Linked DNA regions of Mus musculus. The protein of the gene in region 5 interacts with the protein of the main gene of each other region in a pairwise test. Links are inferred from orthologs where the notes say so. Each region holds a gene or a part of one and is shown on either strand. Other genes may lie near its edges.

What was found.
Region 1: the proteins of Rbbp8 (region 5) and Lims1 interact in a two-hybrid assay, tested with the Homo sapiens proteins (2 studies listed by BioGRID and IntAct). The two-hybrid records come from large-scale screens. The link is inferred for Mus musculus from reciprocal best matches to the Homo sapiens genes RBBP8 and LIMS1.
Region 2: the proteins of Rbbp8 (region 5) and Rbl2 interact in binary tests that used the Homo sapiens proteins (3 or more experiments, as listed by UniProt). The link is inferred for Mus musculus from reciprocal best matches to the Homo sapiens genes RBBP8 and RBL2.
Region 3: the proteins of Rbbp8 (region 5) and Rbl1 interact in a two-hybrid assay, tested with the Homo sapiens proteins (2 studies listed by BioGRID and IntAct). The link is inferred for Mus musculus from reciprocal best matches to the Homo sapiens genes RBBP8 and RBL1.
Region 4: the proteins of Rbbp8 (region 5) and Rb1 interact in a two-hybrid assay, tested with the Homo sapiens proteins (2 studies listed by BioGRID). The link is inferred for Mus musculus from reciprocal best matches to the Homo sapiens genes RBBP8 and RB1.

The regions. Positions count from the first base shown.
Region 1 is NC_000076.6:58,392,440-58,397,337, reverse strand, and holds the start of Lims1 (LIM and senescent cell antigen-like-containing domain protein 1), read right to left. Parts: upstream 2,966-4,898; 5' UTR 2,920-2,965; coding exon 2,738-2,919; intron 1-2,737. UniProt on the Homo sapiens protein: Within the IPP (ILK-PINCH-PARVIN) complex, binds to F-actin, promoting F-actin bundling, a process required to generate force for actin cytoskeleton reorganization and subsequent dynamic cell adhesion events such as cell spreading and migration.
Region 2 is NC_000074.6:91,083,433-91,087,530, reverse strand, and holds part of Rbl2 (retinoblastoma-like protein 2), read right to left. Parts: intron 2,099-4,098; coding exon 1,938-2,098; intron 1,857-1,937; coding exon 1,792-1,856; intron 549-1,791; coding exon 362-548; intron 1-361. UniProt on the Homo sapiens protein: Key regulator of entry into cell division. Directly involved in heterochromatin formation by maintaining overall chromatin structure and, in particular, that of constitutive heterochromatin by stabilizing histone methylation.
Region 3 is NC_000068.7:157,187,130-157,191,227, forward strand, and holds part of Rbl1 (retinoblastoma-like protein 1), read right to left. Parts: intron 1,207-4,098; coding exon 1,094-1,206; intron 910-1,093; coding exon 806-909; intron 1-805. UniProt on the Homo sapiens protein: Key regulator of entry into cell division. Directly involved in heterochromatin formation by maintaining overall chromatin structure and, in particular, that of constitutive heterochromatin by stabilizing histone methylation.
Region 4 is NC_000080.6:73,214,035-73,218,132, forward strand, and holds part of Rb1 (retinoblastoma-associated protein), read right to left. Parts: intron 2,746-4,098; coding exon 2,630-2,745; intron 1-2,629. UniProt on the Homo sapiens protein: Tumor suppressor that is a key regulator of the G1/S transition of the cell cycle. The hypophosphorylated form binds transcription regulators of the E2F family, preventing transcription of E2F-responsive genes.
Region 5 is NC_000084.6:11,729,847-11,733,944, reverse strand, and holds part of Rbbp8 (DNA endonuclease RBBP8), read right to left. Parts: intron 1,756-4,098; coding exon 1,615-1,755; intron 1-1,614. UniProt on the Homo sapiens protein: Endonuclease that cooperates with the MRE11-RAD50-NBN (MRN) complex in DNA-end resection, the first step of double-strand break (DSB) repair through the homologous recombination (HR) pathway.

The DNA.
Region 1 (4,898 bases), on a different chromosome or scaffold from region 5:
AATGAATGACACAGGGGTAGAATCCAGGCTCTCTGCTTACAAGGAATCATCTCCATCACAGATCACAGCCTTTCGGCAAACTCTTGGCAGTTCATGGTAGGGACACAATCATGTTTTACAGGCCAGGAAAATAAAAGCAGGCATTAACTAGCATTGAGTGACTCTGACAGTTCCCTCACAAGCAATCCCACTCTACCTCAAAACACAGGATGTGATCACGAATAATTGTTTTCTCTAGCCACTGGCGCTTCAGGAGCCAGGCAGCAGCTGAAGCAGACTTAGGTGAGGATTTCACATGAATAGCTATTTTGTTTCTGAAAGCTCTAGAAATGGAGAAGGTTCCATATGCTGAACAGTCACTGACCAAGCCTTTTGTTTGTTTGTTTTGGCTTGTTTTTTTGTTTCCAGAGGCTGATTCTATGGTGGAGTTCTACCTCTACAAAAGCAGTCTGCTCCTGGCATAGCTTCTGACCTTTCAAATATCTCATCAGTCTGCCGGCACCACTGCCAAGGGACAGATGGCGTGGAGAGCCTCTCACTTCACAAACACTTTAACCAGCGGCCTTGCTCTTAGCTCTTTCCAAGGTTAGCATTTCCATAGCAAGACTTATTCTTTGTCCACCCCAATGGAGGACAGCTCTACATCTGTCTTCTTCCTCAAGTGTTTCAAGACAATTCTGTGTTGTAACCTTGCCACAGTAACACTATGCTGAATCCCCACATTCACCATTCCAGATCAATCAAAAGTCTGTTTTAATTCATAAGCTCAATTAAGATAGGAGTGTCACTGAAGAGAAGGGAAAAGATTGGGCCCGAGAGAAAGCAAAGCTGGTGACAGTGCTTGCTGCCAAGCCTGAAGATGTGGGTTTGATCCCTGGAATTCACATAGAAGAAAAACTGACTCCAGCAAGTTATCTTTGACCTTCATAGTGTATGACACTCTCCCCTCCGCCCCCGCCCCAAAATAACACTTTTAAAACGTGAAAAGAGGCAGCCTTACTTCTGACGAACCTGGCCTAAGCACTGTGTATAGAGACTTCCACTTTGTCTTTTCAGAATTATTGTGAGGAGAGAGGATCTAGACGAACAGCAACGTCTTTAATAAAACTCTGAAGGGATCTGTGCACCCTCTTTTCTTACAGAAAGAGTGGCTGAGTGGAGAAAGACGCTAGCCCACATCCGCTCAGGAATTATCAGAAGCTGTTTTGAGGATGAAATAATAAAAAAATATAATCCCCTCTGGAAAGCAGAAGGTGCTACTAAAAGACACAGCACCATTATAATTCTAAATTCTCTCCAATGATATCACTCCTCAGCAAACTTAATGGACCTCCCCGAAAAGCTGAAGAACATTCTGGAATGTCTTGCTTTACTCCCACTTAACTCAATGATTCTCAAGGTCTGGGGTGACTGAATCTCTGGAAGTTCTGAAGTACCCTCTCAGCCATATCTCTGTGCCAAGAGCAGAAGCAGATTGGAAGGAGGGAGCTGCATCAAGAAAAATGTGCAAAAGTTTACTTTTTCCTCTGTATTACTAGCATGTAATATGTCACTTTTAATCGAATAAATACATATTTCTCATACAAGAAGTATTGGATTTCAATCTTTTTTAAAATGGTGCTGATAAAAATGCTATTAGCACTGACCTGTTTATATTCACTACAGCTACATTCCAGACTTAATTATGTTTGAAAACTCAAGTAGACTTGGCCAAGTGCGTAGGTAGATGAATGTTTTACACACATATTCATATATATGAACTCCCCTTAGTGACCAAAGCAGGGACAGAAAACAGCGACCGCGTGCCTCCCAACTGAGCTCAGGCTTCCCCTCCCTCTCACCTTGTTGGCTGGCAGTTGGTGCTCTTTTTTCTTTCTTTGAGACTGGGTCTCATGTAGCCAAGGCTGATCTCAAATTCCTGACCCTCCACACCTCCCAAGTGTTGGGATTACATACTCAGCTTCTCTCTTGCCTGACTCTCCTGTATTGTTCACATTTTTTTTATACTTGACAGTATTTAACAATGTATGAAGAAGCTATTTTTAAAGAGATAAGTCATTAGATTGGTTATACCTAATTGCTTAATTTTCCAGAAAATGTTTTTTCACTAAAAGTGTTGATGACAAAGAAAACATGGGAGCGGAGAGAATACATGTCTACAAAAGCCAACCAGGACTGATGTTACACACCCACCTCCATAACTCGGCTAACATAGGAAACCACAATCAAACCTTCCAATTTTTACATCTCATTTATCTCCACATGTGAAACAAATTTCCTACTCTTAAAATACAATATATAAAATTCTGTTATCAAATATCTTGAGAGTTTATTAACCACCTCAAATATTGATTATGGGATAAATCCCCAACAAAGTGTTTATCGATTAAATTTTTAGTTTCATATTTGGGAACTCTCAGAGTATATTTTTCCTGCTATAGATCCTGACAACACAAGTGCCAACTTCTCTTATGGATAACACAGTGAAAATGTACCATTATTAGAAAGATGAGCGCTGTCTATTCTTCCCAGGAAGGTGGCATTTTCCTTGACATCTAGTATGTCCTCTGGTGGAAGTTTATAAGACAAGGCAATCTGAGAACCACCCCCAGCCCTCCGTACACCCTGGAAAAGCCCTGCTAAATTAAAACACACTAGCTGGCTTAAATGGCTAGGAAATGCAGAACTGAAGATCTGGAGACTTGAAAGCCTGTATTTTAGGAGGGAAGAGACTCACAATTTCGCATAAAAATCACAGAATTCCTTGTAGACCTTTACGTCACTGTGCCTGCGCTGCAGGTTTGACACAGCCCTCTCGTCTTCATTCCCATTAGCTTCAAGGACGCTGTTAAGGGCTGTTTGGGGGATTTCTTCATTCTCTGGGATAGTGCACGGGCGTGCCCGTCCTGGGAAGGCCATTGTACAAGCTTGAGAGTTCAGAGTCCTGTGATGCCGAGCAGGATACAGAGAAGAGAAACAATATCCAGGCCTCCTGTTTCCCAGCCAGGGTCACTCCCACTGTTCCCACATGCGTCACCCAGCTGCCAGGGTCACTCCTGACTTTTCATGTTAAGAGCTCTGCAGCACAGCAGTCTGGATCTATTATGACTTCTAGAAGCTCCCAAAACCATTTCACGTGTTAGTGACAATTTGTGTCTGAGTGAGTCTCCATTTGGGTATACACAGAAATTTTTGAAAAGCTTGATAAGCTTCAGAAAGGACCTGTGAGCCCCTGAAGGGAAGCTCTATGTAGCCATTTATTATCTTTGTTCTTGATAAAAGTAACAGCATAGTAAAGGCTTCAATGAATGGAGCAGTGTAAACCAGACTAGAGTTTAACTGTAATTCTTCAATTTAATCCCAGCTAATCCTGTAACAGGAGAGTCACGGATTCTTCATGGTATTCCTGCTATATTTAGCTTAAACTACTACTGTCTTGTAATTGTGTTTGTCATGATGATAATAGCAACAGAGAAGCATGAGGCAACACAGGGTGCAGGGTTCTTCTGTGGTTCCATTCTCTAGTCCAACAAGCCATCCTACCCAAAGCAAGCACCTCAAAGAACTGTGAGCAGGCACGGCGCTAAGCACTGCAGGTCATAGTGATAACAGAAGAGCCATATGCCCTTTGAGAGACAAGCAACAGTTGAGACCTGAGTAACCGTGAATAGTGTCTCCTATCATATCACCATATCCTCTATGAAACAGGTGCTATTCACAAGTAAGAAAACCAAGGCCACAAAGAGGCTGAATAATAAGTGACAGGGCTATGCTGTAACTTCTATGAGAGAAAATGGCTGAACAGAATCACTGGGAAATAAAACAGGAACTCAAAACCAGTATATGGCAGGTACAAAATGGGACCAGAAGCAGGAACTGAGATCACACCTCCCTACTTTGAATCCAGAGATATCAAAATGATGAGGAATTCCAAGACTGCAGCCCTGGACCTGCTTGGACCCCAGACTGGTGGATGCCAGAAGAGGGAAAGCCCTAGAGACAGCTTCCCTGTGCAAATATCACCCTTTCCATTCATCTATACTCTCTTGGTTTTGGTTTCTTTTCATTAGGACAAAGTAAAACAGGAAGGACAGAACCAGACAATTCTTCAGCCTCGTGCTGACGGAGCATAAGCCACTCCTTCAGTTTCCTCTCTGAAGAAGGGGAAATAGAGCAGCGAAGTTGGGAGCCTGGCAGTGGCATAGCTGTTCTACTGCCACTGAGTGTGTAGCTACTGTGGCCACCAATCAAGCAGGACATGATCTCTGCCCATAGAAATCTCCTTACTGTACTCCTTAACTAATCTGTTTTTCACCTGTATAACGTGTCATTTGTGGAACCCTACTATATGTGCTGGCCGAAGGTTGGTTTTGTTTAGTCACAGTCACTGAGATCTGTCCAGGTTGCTAGATACGTATATGTAGTTTGATCTTATGTTGCTGCATAATATTCAGCAGTATTAATATATATGTAGTTAAACCATTCACTCACTGAAGATTTAAGTACTTCATAGTTTTAGGCTATTGCCAATGAAAGTTGTTTAGAGGCTTCTGTGTAAATGTAGATTTATCCTTCACTTAAGAGATGCTGAGAGTGAATCTGTTGAGCTATATTCCAATCATACTTTAACTTTGAAAGAGCTGCTAGGAGTGGGGGTGCATGCCAATAATACAAGCACTTGAGAGGCTGAGGCAGACGAATTTAGAATTTAAACCCACCACGGGCTCCACAACGATAAAGGCCAGCCTGAATTATACAGTAAGATTCTGTCTAATATCCACTTATCAGTGAGTACATACCATGTTAGCTCAAATGCTCAGAATACCCACGATACAACCCACAAACCATATGGAGCTTAAGAAGAAGGAAGACCAAAGTGTGGTTACTTCAATCCTATA
Region 2 (4,098 bases), on a different chromosome or scaffold from region 5:
TAGATCCACAGGCTCCAATTAGGATAAATTAATATTTTCCAAGTGTCTCTGTGACCACTGTGCAGGGTATACACTACAGCCTGTTTTTTCAAAAGCAACGACTGCCAGCAGGACGCATCTGTTTCGATTAACAGTCAATTTTCTTCTCAGAGCTAACTAAAACCTTTGAAAGTTGGATCTACTTGACTTTTCTTCTAAACATTTAAAACACACACACACACACACACACACACACACACACAGGATTATGAGGAGACAACAGAAGCCAGTTTCCTCTTGCCGCAGCCGCATCTCCCTCGGGGCTTTGAAACGTGGTCAGTGCATCACAAGAGGCTCCTGTTTCCCTCTGGGCTTAACTCACCTTGTCAAGATGCTGCTGCAAGATGTCTCTCATCTGCGTCCGTTCAGCACTCTCTGTACCTGAGGCAGCACTTAGACACCGAGACAGAGTCCCAACTTCCTCCTCAGCATCCTCACCAAGGAATACGCGCTCATCCAGATTCCCAGCGGCTAACACGTATTCTTCATATGCCTTATTAACGGCCTTACTATGGGGAAACAGGACCGCCATTTCAGCTCATGTTCCACACCAGGGTTTTACTCACTACAGCATCTCGCAAATTTCTCAAGGTCATTTATTTCTGTAGAATAATTGCTCATTTCAAAAACCCAAGAGAAGTTGCAACTCGCTTTGATCTAAGTGTCCAGTACACACTGAATATACTTTTTTAACAGTGTGTCAAGGTAGGAACTCTGAACAAACCTGCCTTCAATAAGCTAATAATAATAATAAATAATGATAAACTAAATTATACTAAATTACGCTAAACTAAAGTTGTGATGCTGGGTGACATACAACTGGCATATGACCATGCAGGAACATTTCCTCAGCTGTTCTTGGCACCTCTAAAGACCTGGTATTGCCACACTGTCACCTCTAAAGATCCAAATACCAGTCCTTTTTTCCTTAACTTCATTTTTTTTTTTGAGACAAAGTAGCCCCCAACTTACAATCACCTTGCCTCAGGTCCTAAGTGCTGAGATGTCAGCCCCATGCTCTGATGGCCAGGCACAAAAGCATTTCTTTCTTCTCTTTTTTTATATTAAAAAATATTTATTTATTTACTTTATGTATATGAGTACACTGTTGCTGTCTTCAGAGACCCCAGAAGAGGGCATCAGATCCCATTACAGATGGTTGTGAGCCACCATGTGGTTGCTGGGAATTGAACTCAGGACCCCTGGAAGAGCAGTCAGTGCTCTTAACCACTGAGCCATCCCTCTAGCCCACAAAAGCATTTCTTAATTTCAAAATTTAGAGTCTAAAATCTTGAGTAATAAAACTTTGAACAGAACAAAAACAAGTTTCACTGAGAATAAAGACATATGGCATATGGTTATAGTAGAAGTTTCCAGAACTGTGATGGCTTCTATGAGTTCTACCATAAAGCATTAAAACCATCCAACGTACAAACAGTACAAACACTGAGCGCGAGGTCTCCTCACAGCTAAGTTAAAGTATCAGAGCAAGCCGGGCATGGGGAGGCAGAGGCAGGGGGAATCTCTGAGTTGGAGGCCAGCCTGGTCTACAGAACAAATTCCAGAATAGCCAAGGCTACAAATAGAAACCCTGCCTCAAAACAAAAACAAAAACCAAAAAACAAAACAAAACCAAAAAACCAAAAAACCAAAAACCAAAACCAAAACCAAACAAACAAAAACAAAAAAAAAACCCCAGAAAGCAAGCAAGCAACCAAACCATCCTAGCAGGTGTGCAGCGTAAGTACTCACAAACTCTCTCCAAAGTTTCCGGGCTCCAGGAAGCCAGTAAGATTTTCTTCCTTCCCCTTGAGAAGCTACGATGAAAAGAAAGGTTCTTGGGTTACGTGCGACCGAGTCTTTACCCAGAAAACGTCCGTATGTCATTACTTACGAACCTTTTTCTCAAACAGTTTCCTAATATAGGGTTTCCAGAAGTGTTCCTTTATCCCCTTGGCCTCCAACACTAGACCGTCGTGTAAGGAGCACAGCTTCTCAATGACACACGGCGGGTCGGAGGACGCTTTAGAGTCCTTGGGGTGACAGTCCTCGGACAGGCCTGTGGTGTATAAAATCACAAGATGGAGACAATGGTCAGCACCAACTCGCCAACATACAGTACACGGAAACAGAAATGTTAGTCTGCTCAGCACATGGTGGGCATGTGTAACTAATTTACATATGCCTCAAAAGATGAAGAGAGATGAAGTCAGAGATGGATATGCAACATCCCCAGGACAAACAGAAAGGGACACGCTTCCTCAACCTGTAACCCATGCTCAGGAGGACCGACTGAGCTGTAACATCCTGCCTCACATAGAGAAAGAACTATATAAATTATCAATTGAATTAGTAATGTGACTAAAGGCTGTTGGAAAAATAAAAGCTTGGGGGAATATCTGAAAAACATCAGAACTCTGTTCTGCAAATGAGCCTTACGTTCAAATTAAAAAACAAAACAAAACAAAAAAAACAACACTTAAAAAATTATACAGTTCTGCCAGGTGAGGTGGCTCACACCATTAATCCTAGCACTCAGGAACAGGGGAAGGTGGATCTCTGTGAGTTCAAGGCCAGCCTTGTCTACACATTGAGTTCCAGGACAGCCAGAGCTACAGAAACCCTGTCTCAAACAAACAAACAAACAAACAAACAAGCAAACAGACAGACAGACATTACCCATTTCTGAATGCTGAGATGGCTCATCAGGTGAAGACACCTGCTTCCAAGCCCGACAACCTGTTTACTCTCTAAGAGTCAATTTATAGTGTTCTCTTTCATAAGAACATAAAACAATCAAAGAAAATTAAAGGAGGTAAAAACAGAACAAATAACAATATCAGACAGAAGCAGCAGAGGCAGCACAGGACCAGGGCACCCTGTGTCCAGTCCCCAGAACAAAAGGTGAGAGAATAAAGTGAAGACAATGGGGCGCACAGCAAGGGGCAAAGGTCAGGTGCTCCTAGTTGAAAATGCTTGGACCAAGATTTAGAGTTTAGTCTTTGGAATCTTGGACCATTTGCACCATCTTAATTAGATGAACATGCATAGCCAAAAACTCTTCGGTGACATCTACAACTTTCTTTTTCTGCTTTGATTTTCTGCTGTCTTGTTTGTTCTCGTTAGTACTGAGAATCAAACTCAGGGCCAGCCAAGAAGTCTGTCACAAACTCCATCTCAAGCCTACGTCTCACACCTCTCGAGTCACAGGGAACTGGGAGTAACTAGCTCCACTAATTTTAAAACCAACCCGGATGGGCACGTTGAAGTTCTAACTGAAACCATGCCCAAGCTGACGGCCAGAATTCTTCCACGGTGTTTTTCATGCAGAATCAGCAATATAGACTAGTCTATACATCCTCAGTATTTATGTATATGGCTTATAGAAATTACATAGTCTAAAGCACATTACACGTACCACCAAGATGAGTATGACTCTCATACCAGTCACCCAGAGAGCTAGGTTCTTGTTTCAACATTTTATTTTTCTGTAGCAAAAGAAGTGAGATGCCGTTCTTTTAGCCAACTCTTTGCTGCTACTTGGGGTGCGTTAAGCACCAAATGTGCCAACAGCAAGAAATACTACCATGGCTTTTGCTATATATTTTTCAAAAACCGCCAAAGTTATCATTTAAAACTAAATTCGGTTATATTTGCTTTTCGTTTTTAGAGGTGGGGGTAGGGTGGGCACTGGAGAGATGACTCACTAGTTAAGAGCACAGCTTACTCTTTCAGAGGACCTAGGCTCAATTCCCAGCACCCATGGCTCACGGCCATCTATAAGCCCGGTTACACAGGATTTAACACTCTCCTTCTGGCCTGTGGGAACAGCAGGCACACATGTGGTACACAAACATACATGCAGACAAAACACCCATACACATAAAATAAAGTGAAACATTAAAAAATGTCTGGAGATGCTGACTTCAGTATAAGCACTCATACGACTCAGGTGGCAGAATTTCTCCAATACTCATGTCCTCTGAGGCTAGCAAGCCTGCATCTGGGGATACAGTTTCCACGAGTAAAAACCATGCAGAAACACGGGCTTTCAATAAA
Region 3 (4,098 bases), on a different chromosome or scaffold from region 5:
GAGAAAGCTGAGGACTGAACACAGGCTTGGAAGAACCTGTCCGGTGCACATAAGCAGACATGTGTTCAGCTTGTTAAAGATGATGACTTCTTTGTAATAATGAAATGAAGTCTTAGGAAGAGCAGGTGGCTGAAGTTGGACAAAGTGACCTCATCAGTCAAGGTGTGAAACAATCAGGTGACATCACTGAGAACTAAGGGAGAAGAAACCAACTAGGTCTCAAGGTCTCAAGAAGTTGTCAAACTAGAAAGGACAAAGCTGGTTAACAGTTGACATTCAGTTCCTCTTTCGGAGCTCATGGACAGCTGCTGCTTGAATCCATTTCTATTCCTGCCAAGTTCAGCCTCTGTGTAAGAACTGGAGAGGAGACTGTCCACGCAGAGGTGGCAGTGACTCATTCTCCTCTGATGGAGGCAGAGATGAGGTTTTTACACGCTGACAGCTACGTGCAAGTGTGTGCTCCTATGTTCTGGGACCACAACTGCTTTCACAACTGTTGCAGAACTATGGTATAACTGTGTTCTCAAAGAAGCTTTTAGACTCTCTAGGTAAAATGAGTGTAGAGTTGATGGTTGTAAATACAAGTGAGTGTAAATTTTCTAGTAGAGTAGAAATCTCATTTTCATATTCTCCCTTATAATCTTTTTCTTCAACTAAAAACTAAGAAATTATGTAAATTTTTATTGCTTACATTGTATAGAATAAAAATTATTACTTTTTTAGAAAGTGAAAACAAACTAACAAAAAGAAACCTCTTACTTCCCTGGTAGGACTGAAAGCTGGCTAGGAGGATAGAGTTACTTACCGACATGTCCATTCCATGAAGCCGTCGTGTTTCCTGGACCATTATAGTCTCCAGTATTTTGTAATACAAAATTTCTGCCAGTTTTAGTCTGTTTACAGCAAAGTCTATAGAAAACACAGGAGAGCATATGCTATTGAAATGGTGATGGCAAACTCAACAGTAAGCGGGTACATTAACTGCAAGAGATGGGAACCTGACTGTGGGGACATTCTTTCTCCACACTTAATGCTATCTGTGGGGACAGTCTCCATACTTAATGCTGTGCCGCTTTTATTCTTCTCTTCTTACCTATGTGAGATCCTGGCTGTTTATCTGTGGACTGGGTATAGTGTTGGCAGAAAGTCTCTCCTATTCCTTTCACAATTTTTATAATGTTTCCCATAGGATTCCGCATACAAGATCTATAAAATACAAGAGAAACTTGCTTATCAGGAAAACCCAGATTATCAACATTCCTCAAGATTCTTCAAGAATCACCCAGGGGCTCGGATCCAGCTCAGTGACAGACAGCTTGCGTAGATACCCAAGGCCATGGAATACAGATACAAACTTGCACGCGCGCACATACACTGTAAGTATTAGGGACTGAACTTAGCAGGCATTTGCTGAGTTGCCTTACCAGTCAGCTATAAGCATTTTTAATCATGCTATTTTGCCAGGTATGGTAGCATACATTTGATGCCTGCTTAGACATGAAATGCATGCAGTGCGACAGAGGCCAAACAAGGTGCCAGTCTAATGTGGGTGCTCAGAATCAAACCTTGGATCTCTGCAAAAGCAACAAGTACATTAACTGCTGCCCATCTCTCTGGTCCAGGAGCATTTATGATTATTTATTTTGGTAGCGGTCAGAGGATATCTAGAATCCATCTCTCTTCTTCCTAAGCATCAAACTCAAGTTACCAGACTTGGCAGCCAAAGATAAAAGATGCAGTCCTGAGCCACCTCACTGGCCCTGAATTAATTTTTTAATATTGTGTAATATCTTCATTCTTCTGCATAAGGATATTTTGTTTTCCCAACATCATTTCTTTCTACTCTTTACCCACTATATGGTCTTGGTACACTATCAATGATCACTTGAAAAAAAATATAGCTTATTTCTCTCCATTTTGTTTCCCCAGTTTATACATGTCTGGGTCAATACCATGCTTTTTTGATTATTGAAGCTGTGTACTATTCTACTATATTGAAATAAAATGTAAAGCCTCCAGCGCTGATCTTTTTCAAGTTTGTCTTGGCTTTTTGGGGTACTAAAGTTCCACATGAGTTTTAAAGTTTGGTGGTTTTGTTTGTTTGTTTGTTTGTTTGTTTGTTTTCCTATTTTGGTTTGTTATAGTTTTGGGTTTGTTTGCTTTTTGAGACATGGTCGCATGTAGCCCAGGTTGCTCCTGAACTATTCATATAGCCAAAGATGCCTTGAAGTCTGCTCTGCCTGCTTTCACCTGCACGAGCTAGGACTGCGAGCATGTCTGCCCACACCTGGCTCCCGTGTCTGTCTTTTTGTGCTTCTCATTCCGTCCCTTCTCCTATTGCGGTAACATGCTTGCACAGTGGCCTTGCCACTTCTTTTCAATTTACTCATGCTGACAGTTCAGTACAGGCCAATCTACTCAGGTAGGAGCTATGACCAGATCTTCAGGGCAGTCTTCCAGCCTTCCCTACAACGTCTCTTCATAGATATTTTTGAGACTATGGACAACTTTGGCAACCTTCTTGTGGCCTACAGGAAAGAAGGAATGAGTGTCGCTGCTCCGCAGCCTTTGCTGGAGAGCCAGACTTCCCTCCTCTTCTGAGATTTAGGTAAGTATCTTCATTCCAGAGTTGCCTGGGGATATCTTTACCTTTATGAGGATCTCCCCAGAGTTATAATGAACTCTGGAAAATGGAAGGCTTTTAAGTAGTTTCCCATAATCCTGATTAAACCCTGGTGGGAAGACATGGGACATTCTTTCTTTGGAAGAGTATTAAGACGTAGAAATGAAAGTAGATTGAGTAGATGACATAACCTACGCGTTCTCTCTCTGTCTCTCTCTCTCTGTGCTGAGACAGTGTTGGAGTATGACTTGGATCCCTTCTCCTGTCTCTACCTGGCAAGTGCTGGGATTACAGGAGAAGAGCTCCGCCCCCGCTCCTCCTCCCTCGTTTCCATTGAGATATTTTATTTACATGTATATTTCACATTCCTAAAAGATTAATCTCAGGACTTTCATTTCTATGTCTTAATACTCTGCTTTTTCAAGGTTCACCACGCTCATAAGCCCCATCTCAGGCAGTGACTCTGTACTTGCTCTTCCTGTGAGACTTACTACAGTCTTGCCAAAACTGCTCATGACTATGAGATCCCGCCATGCCTCAGGGTTAGTCAGAGCCTGGCGACTTAGAGAATAACTTTTTGTCTGTTTCTTTATTGGTGTTTATGTATATCTGTGGATGCCAGAGGTCACCCTTGGGTGCCAATCCTCAGAAACTGACCAGTTTGTTTTCAAATAGGTTCTCTCATTAGCCTGGATTCTCAGATGAGCCCCAAGCATCTTCTTGTTTCTGCTGCCTTGGTGCTGTACTTTACAAAGGCATGGCACCACACACTCAGCTTCCTTAGTGGATCTGGAGAATCACACTCAGGGTCTCAGCGCTTTACCAAATGAGTTATCTTTAAAACTGCTCTGGGGGCTGGAGAGATGGCTCAGCAGGTAAAAGCACTGACTTCTGCTCTTCCAAAGGTCCTCAGTTCAATTCCCAGCGACCACATGGTGGCTCACAACCATTCGTAATGAGATCTGATGCCCTCTTCTGGAGGGTCTGAATATAGCTACAGTATACTTACATACAATAAATAAATAAATCTTAAGAAAAAAAAACCCAAAAACCACAAAAACTGCTCTGGGCTCATGTAACCAGGAAGTGCTCCTTCCTGCTCAGTCATCAAGGTAAAGCCACAAGGTGAGCCACAGAGTCAGGTGTAGCCTAAGTTATTTGACAGGACTAATTCTCTGAGGACAACAACAGTGGCCTGGACCTGGAAATGTTGTCACCTCGCTCTCTTTGCTTGTTTTTGAGACGAGGTGTCATGTCTCAAGGCTGGTCTTGAACTCCTGATTATTACCCTCACCAGAAGGATGGAGGAAGAGCCCAGTGTGGAACAGTGATGGGTAGGAGCACAATCCTATCAAACACACCCTTCCAGCACCGCCTGTTAGGGAACAGGCTGTTGGAACAGACCTTCCATTACCTTTCCTTACCACTAATTTAGAAGATTATAACACGAAGTCCTCTCTCTCTCTCTCTCTCTC
Region 4 (4,098 bases), on a different chromosome or scaffold from region 5:
TCAAAAGCTCTGACTCGCCGGGCATGGTGGCACACACCTTTAATCCCAGCACTCGGGAGGCAGAGGCAGGCAGATTTCTGAGTTCGAGGCCAGCCTGGTCTACAAAGTGAGTTCCAGGACAGCCAGGGCTATACAGAGAAACCCAGTCTTGAAAAACCAAAATAATAATAATAATAATAATAATAATAATAATAATAATAATAATAAATAAATAAAAAAACAAAAGCTCTAACTCAGAATTGTTCCTATGTGAAAGAACTACAGGGACAAAAATGGAGAAGAGCATGAGAGAAAAGAGGTCCAGTGTGACCGACCCAAACTGGGCCCTGACACTGTTACTGATGCTGTGGTATGCTTGCAGACAAGGGCCTAGCATGGCTGCCCTCTGAGGGGACCAACAAGCAGCTGAAAGAGTCAGATGCAGATATTTGCACCCAATCAATGGACAGAAGCCAGGAACCCCTGTGGTTGAATTAGGAGAAAGCTAGAAGAAGGAGGAGGGTGGCCCCATGGATAGACCAGTAGTCTCAACTGACCTGGATCCTTGAGATCCATCAGACAACGAGCCACAAACTGATATGAGGCCCCTGATACATATACAGCAGAGGACTGCCTGGTCTGGGTTCAGTCTGGGAAGATGCACCTAACACTCAAGACACTGGAGGCCCCAGGGAGACCTGGTGGGATGGGGGGTGAGGGACATCCTCTTGGAGATGGAGGTTGGGTGGTGAAGGATGTATGGGGTGGGGAGTGGTTGGGGTAGGGGGGAGAAGCAGGCCAGGAAGAGGATGAAGTCTGGACTGTAAAAAAGGATTAAAGAATAAAAATAAATACATTTAAAAAAAATTTCTCAATTTGTCCACTTCCTCAAATGTGCTATAAATCAAGTCAATATAAAACCTGCTATTTCTATCTCAAAATACATTCCAGACCCTTCTTTTCCACCTTTAATGTTTATGATAGTCCAAGATACCTATATCCCTTATTATTTATTTTAAAGAATTATTTATTTTGTGTATATGAATATACTGTAGCTATCCTCAGACACAACAGAAGAGGGCATCAGATCCCATTATACATGGTTGTGAGCCACCATGTGGTTGCTGGGAATTGAACTCAGGACCTCTGGAAGAGCAGTCAGTGCTCTTAACCACTGAGCCATCTCTCCAGTCCCTGCATCCCTTATTTAAACTATAAAGTCTTTGAAATTTTCTTTCCATTTTCTTGACTTGACATCTCCTAGCCCTCAAGCCCTCCCATATTTCAAATAGCAACTAGATAGTCTCTTAATACAGATTATTCACAGTTGCATTTGTGTGTGAATGGTTTCCCACTACCTTATAACATCTATGCATTTAGAGCCTCTAGCTCCAGTGTGCTGCTTCTGCGTCAGCCTTACACTTACTGCTCTGACTGTGAGCCACCCACCCTGGGTTTCTTTCTAGTCCATAATATAGGCATTTTCCCAAAAGAGGAAAAGTTTTGTCTGGTCAGCATTACGTTGCCTTCCAGGTCTCCAGTCAAACTATGACGTCATCTCCTGGGTCTCCCCTCCTCTCATTTCATTGGTTTCACTGTTGCATGAGTCCTCTAAACTAAACTCATACTAGTCTATGTGTTCACTGCTTCCTTCCTGTGAGATGCAAAGTCCTATAAGGGAAAAGGACCAGGCCATCTAATCATATCAGTAACTGGTACTGTTAACCTAGCACTTTACAAATAACCATTTCCTGAATTACAGGAACATATAAAGCTGACTTATGTGAAAATATTACCTAACAAACAAACTCATGCATGAATACACAGTCTCTGTGGGTCAGAAATACTTTGGGTGGAAGTTACCATGGAAATGATATCACAGGAAAATGGTTTATCACAGAATGCTGTATTTCCTCACTGAATCAGGTAGAAACATGGAGCACGTTTCTATGAAAGGACAAAGCTAGAGGGCTAAGAGAGCATGTACTGTGATCTGACTACTTGGGTTCATTTATGTGCATCTTAAGCAAGCTCCCTTGTTTCCCTCATTGCTACTTTACAGGTAACTGGTGCTGATACAGTATCTTCTACCTTACGAGGCTGGTATGAACTCTAGGGAAAAATGTGAATCTGACGTACCTATGTAAATGCCCCAAATACAGGGAACCCTGACTAAATGTCAGCTGTTTCTTCTCTCAGCATCACCACTCCACACTAGCGATGTGTAATAGTCCATTACTCCACACTTACTCTGTGCCTCTCCCCAAATGGTCTGATACATATTCTCTGAAAATCTCTCCTGCTTTCTGGCTGTTTCAGAAACAAGTAAGTTCGGACTCTTGGGATATTTCCTCTTGCTTTTCCAATTCTCATGCTAAAGTCCTATCTGATCATTCGGACCTATCTAAAGCAGCATCAGCTTTGTCATGAACGATTAATTCCCCGCTACACCAACACCATGTGATTCAGTAGCTTTGTACTTCTTTATTTGACCTTACTTGGGTCATGTGTCTTAGATTCCTAACACTTAAAAGAAAAAATAGTATCTTAAGCAAAATTTCAGTCCTACAATTTCTATATAGCGCTTTGAGCTTCCCTTATGGCCAGAGTATCTCTGCAGTTTGAATGAAAGCACGGTGCCTTTACTTACATATCTGCTGCAGTATGGTTACCCTGGAGAGGCAGGCTGAGAGGACAAGCAGGTTCAAGGTTATCAGGTCCTTCTCCATCCTTGGACTGCTTAATGAGATCAAATAAAGGTGAATCCTGGATAAAAGAAAATGGCATTATAACAACATCAGCAGGTATGGCTTTACTGAGTACATATGAAAACCATGCTTTGTTGTTGCAGGATATCTGACCACACTGTGAACCTGGGATTGTGTTAAAAAATGATTTCTAGTGTGGTGTGGCTCATCCCTTCCCACACACCTTTAGCCCTGCTGACCAGAATACAGACAGCCTTCATACACACCTTTAATCCCAAACAATGAAGGTAAAGGTAGTTTGGAGAAGGAAGTTTGAAAGTGATGTCTAATTGAGTGGCAGACAAAGTAACAAATCAGAGATAGGTTGACAGAATAGGATACGCCTAACTCTCAAGAGAGAGGAAAAAGAAGCTACTGGAGGGAGCCATGCAGAGAGAGAGAGAGAGAGAGAGAGAATGGAGAAAGTAGTCAGGGGTGAAGACAGAACAAGCTGGAAAAGGAGCAGGAGCCAGAAGATCAGAACACATTGCCAAAGTTAGTATGAGGCCACATAGAGCAATTCAGTCAGAGATGCCAAATTGAAACAGCTTGGAGGAAGGTTTGAGCCAAAACAGCAACTCTGAACCAGCCATCTAGAGTTTGGAAAGAACAAGGAAGGGTGAGTATATTCAGCAGTAAGTCTCAGAGGCTGAAAACATTCTAGGTCTAGATTAGCTTCCAGGCCTAGGCCTAGGTTAGCAGACAGAAGCAGTGAGTCTCCGAGCAACCATTAGAAGACTAGGAAGCACTGTTGCCCTCCCTCTGTGACAGACAGGGCTAAGGAGCATTAACTTCGGCAGCGCGAGATCCTTTACTCCATTTGGAGTTCTTACTCGACAGTGCTGATACTGTGTGCATGCACATACAAAACCAGGAAAATAAATGACCTCAAGTGTTCCTCCAACATGCATCTTGGCTTTTGATTTTTTTTTGAATATTCACTTATATGTATATTAAGATATATTGGTGATAAAACCAAAGTTTAAGCACATGGTTCATTTATGTTTCAAATATAACTTATACACATGGTGGACTATAATTTTATCAACATTTTAGTTACATTTTTTGTCTATGATATATTACATGGGTTAGCATCATGTTTGGATATAGAAAGTTTTGAATTTAGGCTGGAAAATAGGCCAGAGGTAGAATGCCTTCTTAGCCTGAATAAAGCTGTATACTCTACTTCCAAAAGAACAATAAAAGCTTTGGAAAAATAATATAATTTGAGTAGTCTTGTCATTACTAAAAAATCGAATCAGAGCTGGGCAATGGTGACACACACTTTTAATTCCAGTCACAGGCAGGCAGATCTCTGAATTCAAAGCTACCCTGGTCTACAGAGCTGGCACTGTTAATCTACACAAAGAAA
Region 5 (4,098 bases):
ATGACAAAATTAAAAAATTTCTATCACTTCTGATTTTTCTGTTATTTGTTTCTAATATATAGGAATATCCTCTTGTGTTTCTCTCCCATCTCTCCCTCAACACTAATGGATTTCTTTAGCTCATAGCTTGTCTTGAATTACATACTAAAAATTTTATAATTTTTTAAGATCATTTTTATTTTCCCAGCTTAGCAAGTTGGAGGCTTATCTGCGTTGCTTTGATGTATTTGCTTGTTGATGGATATGTGGGCTGATTTTGATTTTAAGTTATTATAAATAGTACTGTTATATTCTTTCAGTGCTACAACTCTAATAAGCATAACTTTTTTGTTTTCATATATATATATAATCAAATGCTATATTAGGTACAAAACTGATGACGAACGTGGGAAACTGTTTTGTATAATCCTCTTACCATACATAGGACCCCAGTTACTCCTCCCCCTAGTATTCGGTTATTTGGTTGTTTTTAGTCGCCCCAGGGAATGTCCCAATAATACTGGACATTTTCTCATGTTTATTGATTATTCAATTATCTTTTCATTGAAGACTTTCTAGGTAAAAACATGATATATTCCAATTTGTATTTAAAATAAGGCCATCCTGGTATTCTGTATCAAATTGCAGAGGCATGCATAGAATAGGTGAAATAGTAAAGCTTTTTAAGATCAGGGACAGGGAGAAATAGAGTAATGTAATATACACTTAGGACAATACATCTAGGGTAGTAGACTGGTCATCAAAATTAGAAGAAAAAGTCAAATATGACCATTCCACTTCCCATTCCAACCACTGCCTCTTGGGCTAAATCCTGGAACCAGCTTTGTGTGTCCTTCTAGGTAAGAAAGACTCCCCCCACCTCCCCCAGACAGGGTTTCTCTGTGTAGCCCTGGCTGTCCTGGAACTCACTCTGTAGACCAGGCTGGTCTCAAACTCAGAAATCCACCTGCCTCTGCCTCCTGAGTCGGCCATCACTGGAAAGAGAGGCCCATTGGACACGCAAACTTTATATCCCCCAGTACAGGGGAACGCCAGGGCCAAAAAGGGGGAGTGGGTGGGTAGGGGATTGGGGGTGGGTGGGTATGGGGGACTTTTGGTATAGCATTGGAAATGTAAATGAGCTAAATACCTAATAAAAAAAGGAAAAAAAAAAAAAGAAGTATAGGTGTACACACTGAACTTTTTTTTTTTAATTCTTCCATTAGTCTGAAATTATTTCAAATAAAAAAGTAACTGGGAGAGAAGGCTCAAGTGGTTAAGAGCACTGGCTGCTCTTCTAGAGGACTCAGGTTTGAGTCCCAGCACCAACATGGTGATTCACAACCTTCTGTAACTCCAGTTTCAGGAGATCCAATGCTATCTTCTGGCATCCATGGGCACAAGGCACATATGTGGTGTACAGACACATACACACAGGTAAAACATATATACATACATATATATATATATATATACATATATATATACATAAATTTTTAATAACTAAAAAAGAAATTTATATAAGAAACATGAAACTTTTGTTAATATTTCTAATCAATCCTCTATTAATTAGTCTGATGATTTAATGAATTGAGTGTAATAGAAAATATACAATTAAAGAGAAAAAAGACTTACTGTTTGTTTTCTTTGTGGTGTCAGGCAGTTCTTCCTCATCTGGTACCTGGGAGAAGCTATCTGCCAAACAGGACTCATACTCTTCATGTGTTGTCCGATCAAACATATCTTCTAGGCTATCATTCATTTTTATGTCTCCATCTATACAAAAAAGCATCGGCTTAGCAGCAAGCAGGTATTGGCCTTCTATGCAGTCCAGTACAAAACGTATTAATAGCAACTACTGTAAAATAATATCATAGGTCTTTACATGTGGATTATAGACTATACCTTCAAGAGTGCTGAAGTGCTTACAGATACACCTGTAAAAGTGGTTCTAATTCTAAGATCATTAGTTTTCTGTCACCTTGTCAAGAGAGAATGTTAAGTGGATAACAAACCTTAATACATATAATGGAGTGTTTAAAGATACATTAAAAAAAAACCCACACAACTATACTATAGACTTCAGATCCAGGTGTAAAAAGGGTTTTACTGAATATGGAGTGAGCTGGAGGCAGTCATGGACATGCTAAAAAGAGGATTTTAAGAACAGTAGTTGTAAACTGTAACGTTAAAAGTGGAGAACTCAGTGATTCAAATTGGGTAACATACTACAATATATATAATTAAGTATTTAGAGACCTTTAAGTCAAGATTCTTTCAATTGGGCTTAATTCTCACAAGAGGCACATGAGGTAAAATAAACTCCTAAGTCCTAGTAGTTACTGTTCACTTACAGATGTTTCTGTGGTGACTTCAAGTGTTGTCCTATCACAAGAAAGCTAGTTTTTGTTATTTCATATAACTGGATCCTTACAGATGCTGATGTCTTTCCTATTCTATCTGTTCATATATAATTCACAAAGATCAAAAGAATTCTTATCAAGGAAACTGGGAAGACTAGAAGATATACTACTATATATGATGAAAAATGATAAATGATAAACAAGTGTATAAAAATCAGACATAAATTCTATAAAATTTCATTTATTTTTCTAATGAAGTGGCAAAAATTTACTTCTTTAAAAAAATCACTGTTTTGGTGATTTAAAATAGAAATAAAAAAATCCTATCTTATCTACCACATCAAAATGCTGAATTCATCTTCATACATTAAGTACATTACCCATTCATTATGTAGGCATTTTAAAAAGTTCTGATTTGGGCTGGAGAGATGGCTCAGCTGTTGAGACCACTTGCTATTCTTGCAGAAGACCCATTTCCTAGCATTCACACGGTGGCTCACAACCATTTGTAACTCCACTTTCAGGAAAGCTAATACACTCTTCTCATCATCATAGAGACCAAGCACACATGTGGTGCACATACATATTTGTGCAGCCTAGGCTGTACTATGCAGAATGTAAACACAGATGGACTGTCCTCATCGCTTCTCTTTGATTTTAGTACTGTGTCTTCCTGGGCAGGCCCTGGTGATATGTGACAACTCTTCATTTTATGTGCCTCTATAGGTAGATATGCTGCTAGGATTAGTGCCCACCAGTCCTAGTTGTTGCCTTGTCTTTTTGAAAAATCAAGGTTTTGGCAAAGAATTAACAAATTCTTCTTAATACAAAGGGGTAGATGCTCTTGATTTGACTAAGTCCTCTTTTCAGCAGAGGCAGATTAACTCATTATATGTACTTCCTTTTCTTGGTAATAATTTGTAAATCTCTTATTCTCTACAGATTCCCCCGTCTTATCAAACTTCATCAGAAAATAAATAAAAAAGGCTCTTGAGATTCACCATTGCACTCTATACTAAAAATAGTCTACACCAGAGATAAGCAAACATTTCTCTAAAAAAAATTAGACAGAGAATATTTTAGGTTCATGGAGCCATAAAGTCTCTACGACTTAGCCAACTGTGGTCTTGAACAGAACAATCACAGGTAATGCATTCAACAAACAAAGCCATGATCCAATGAAACTTTGTTTACAAACTGGCTACTGGATACACCTTGTGGACCTCCCTGAAGTGAACTAAATTCCTGAGATAAAAGTTATTATGGCTAGAGGATTCCTTTCCTGAAATAACCAAATTGTACTCTTCTAGGGAAGAACATAACATTAACATAGCTGGTTTTGGGCATGATAATCAAGTCTACAAGGCCAGAACTCAGGAGGCTGAGACAGAAAGACTGCAAGTGGGGCTGGAGAGATGGCTCAGTAGCTAAGAGCACTGACTGCTTTTCCAGAGGTCCTGAGTTTAATTCCCAGCAACCACATGGTGGCTCACAACCATCTGTAATGGGATCCGATGCCCTCTTCTGGTGTGTCTGAAGACAGCGAGTATACTCACATATATAGAATAAATCTTTTTTTTTAATTAGGTATATTCTTCATTTACATTTCAAATGCTATCCCAAAAGTCCCCCAGACCCACCCCCCCAACTCTCTTACTCACCCATTCCCACTTCTTGGCCCTGGCGTTCCCCCGTACTGAGGCATATAAAGGGGCCTCTCTTCCCAATGATGGCCAACTAGGCCATCTTCTGATAC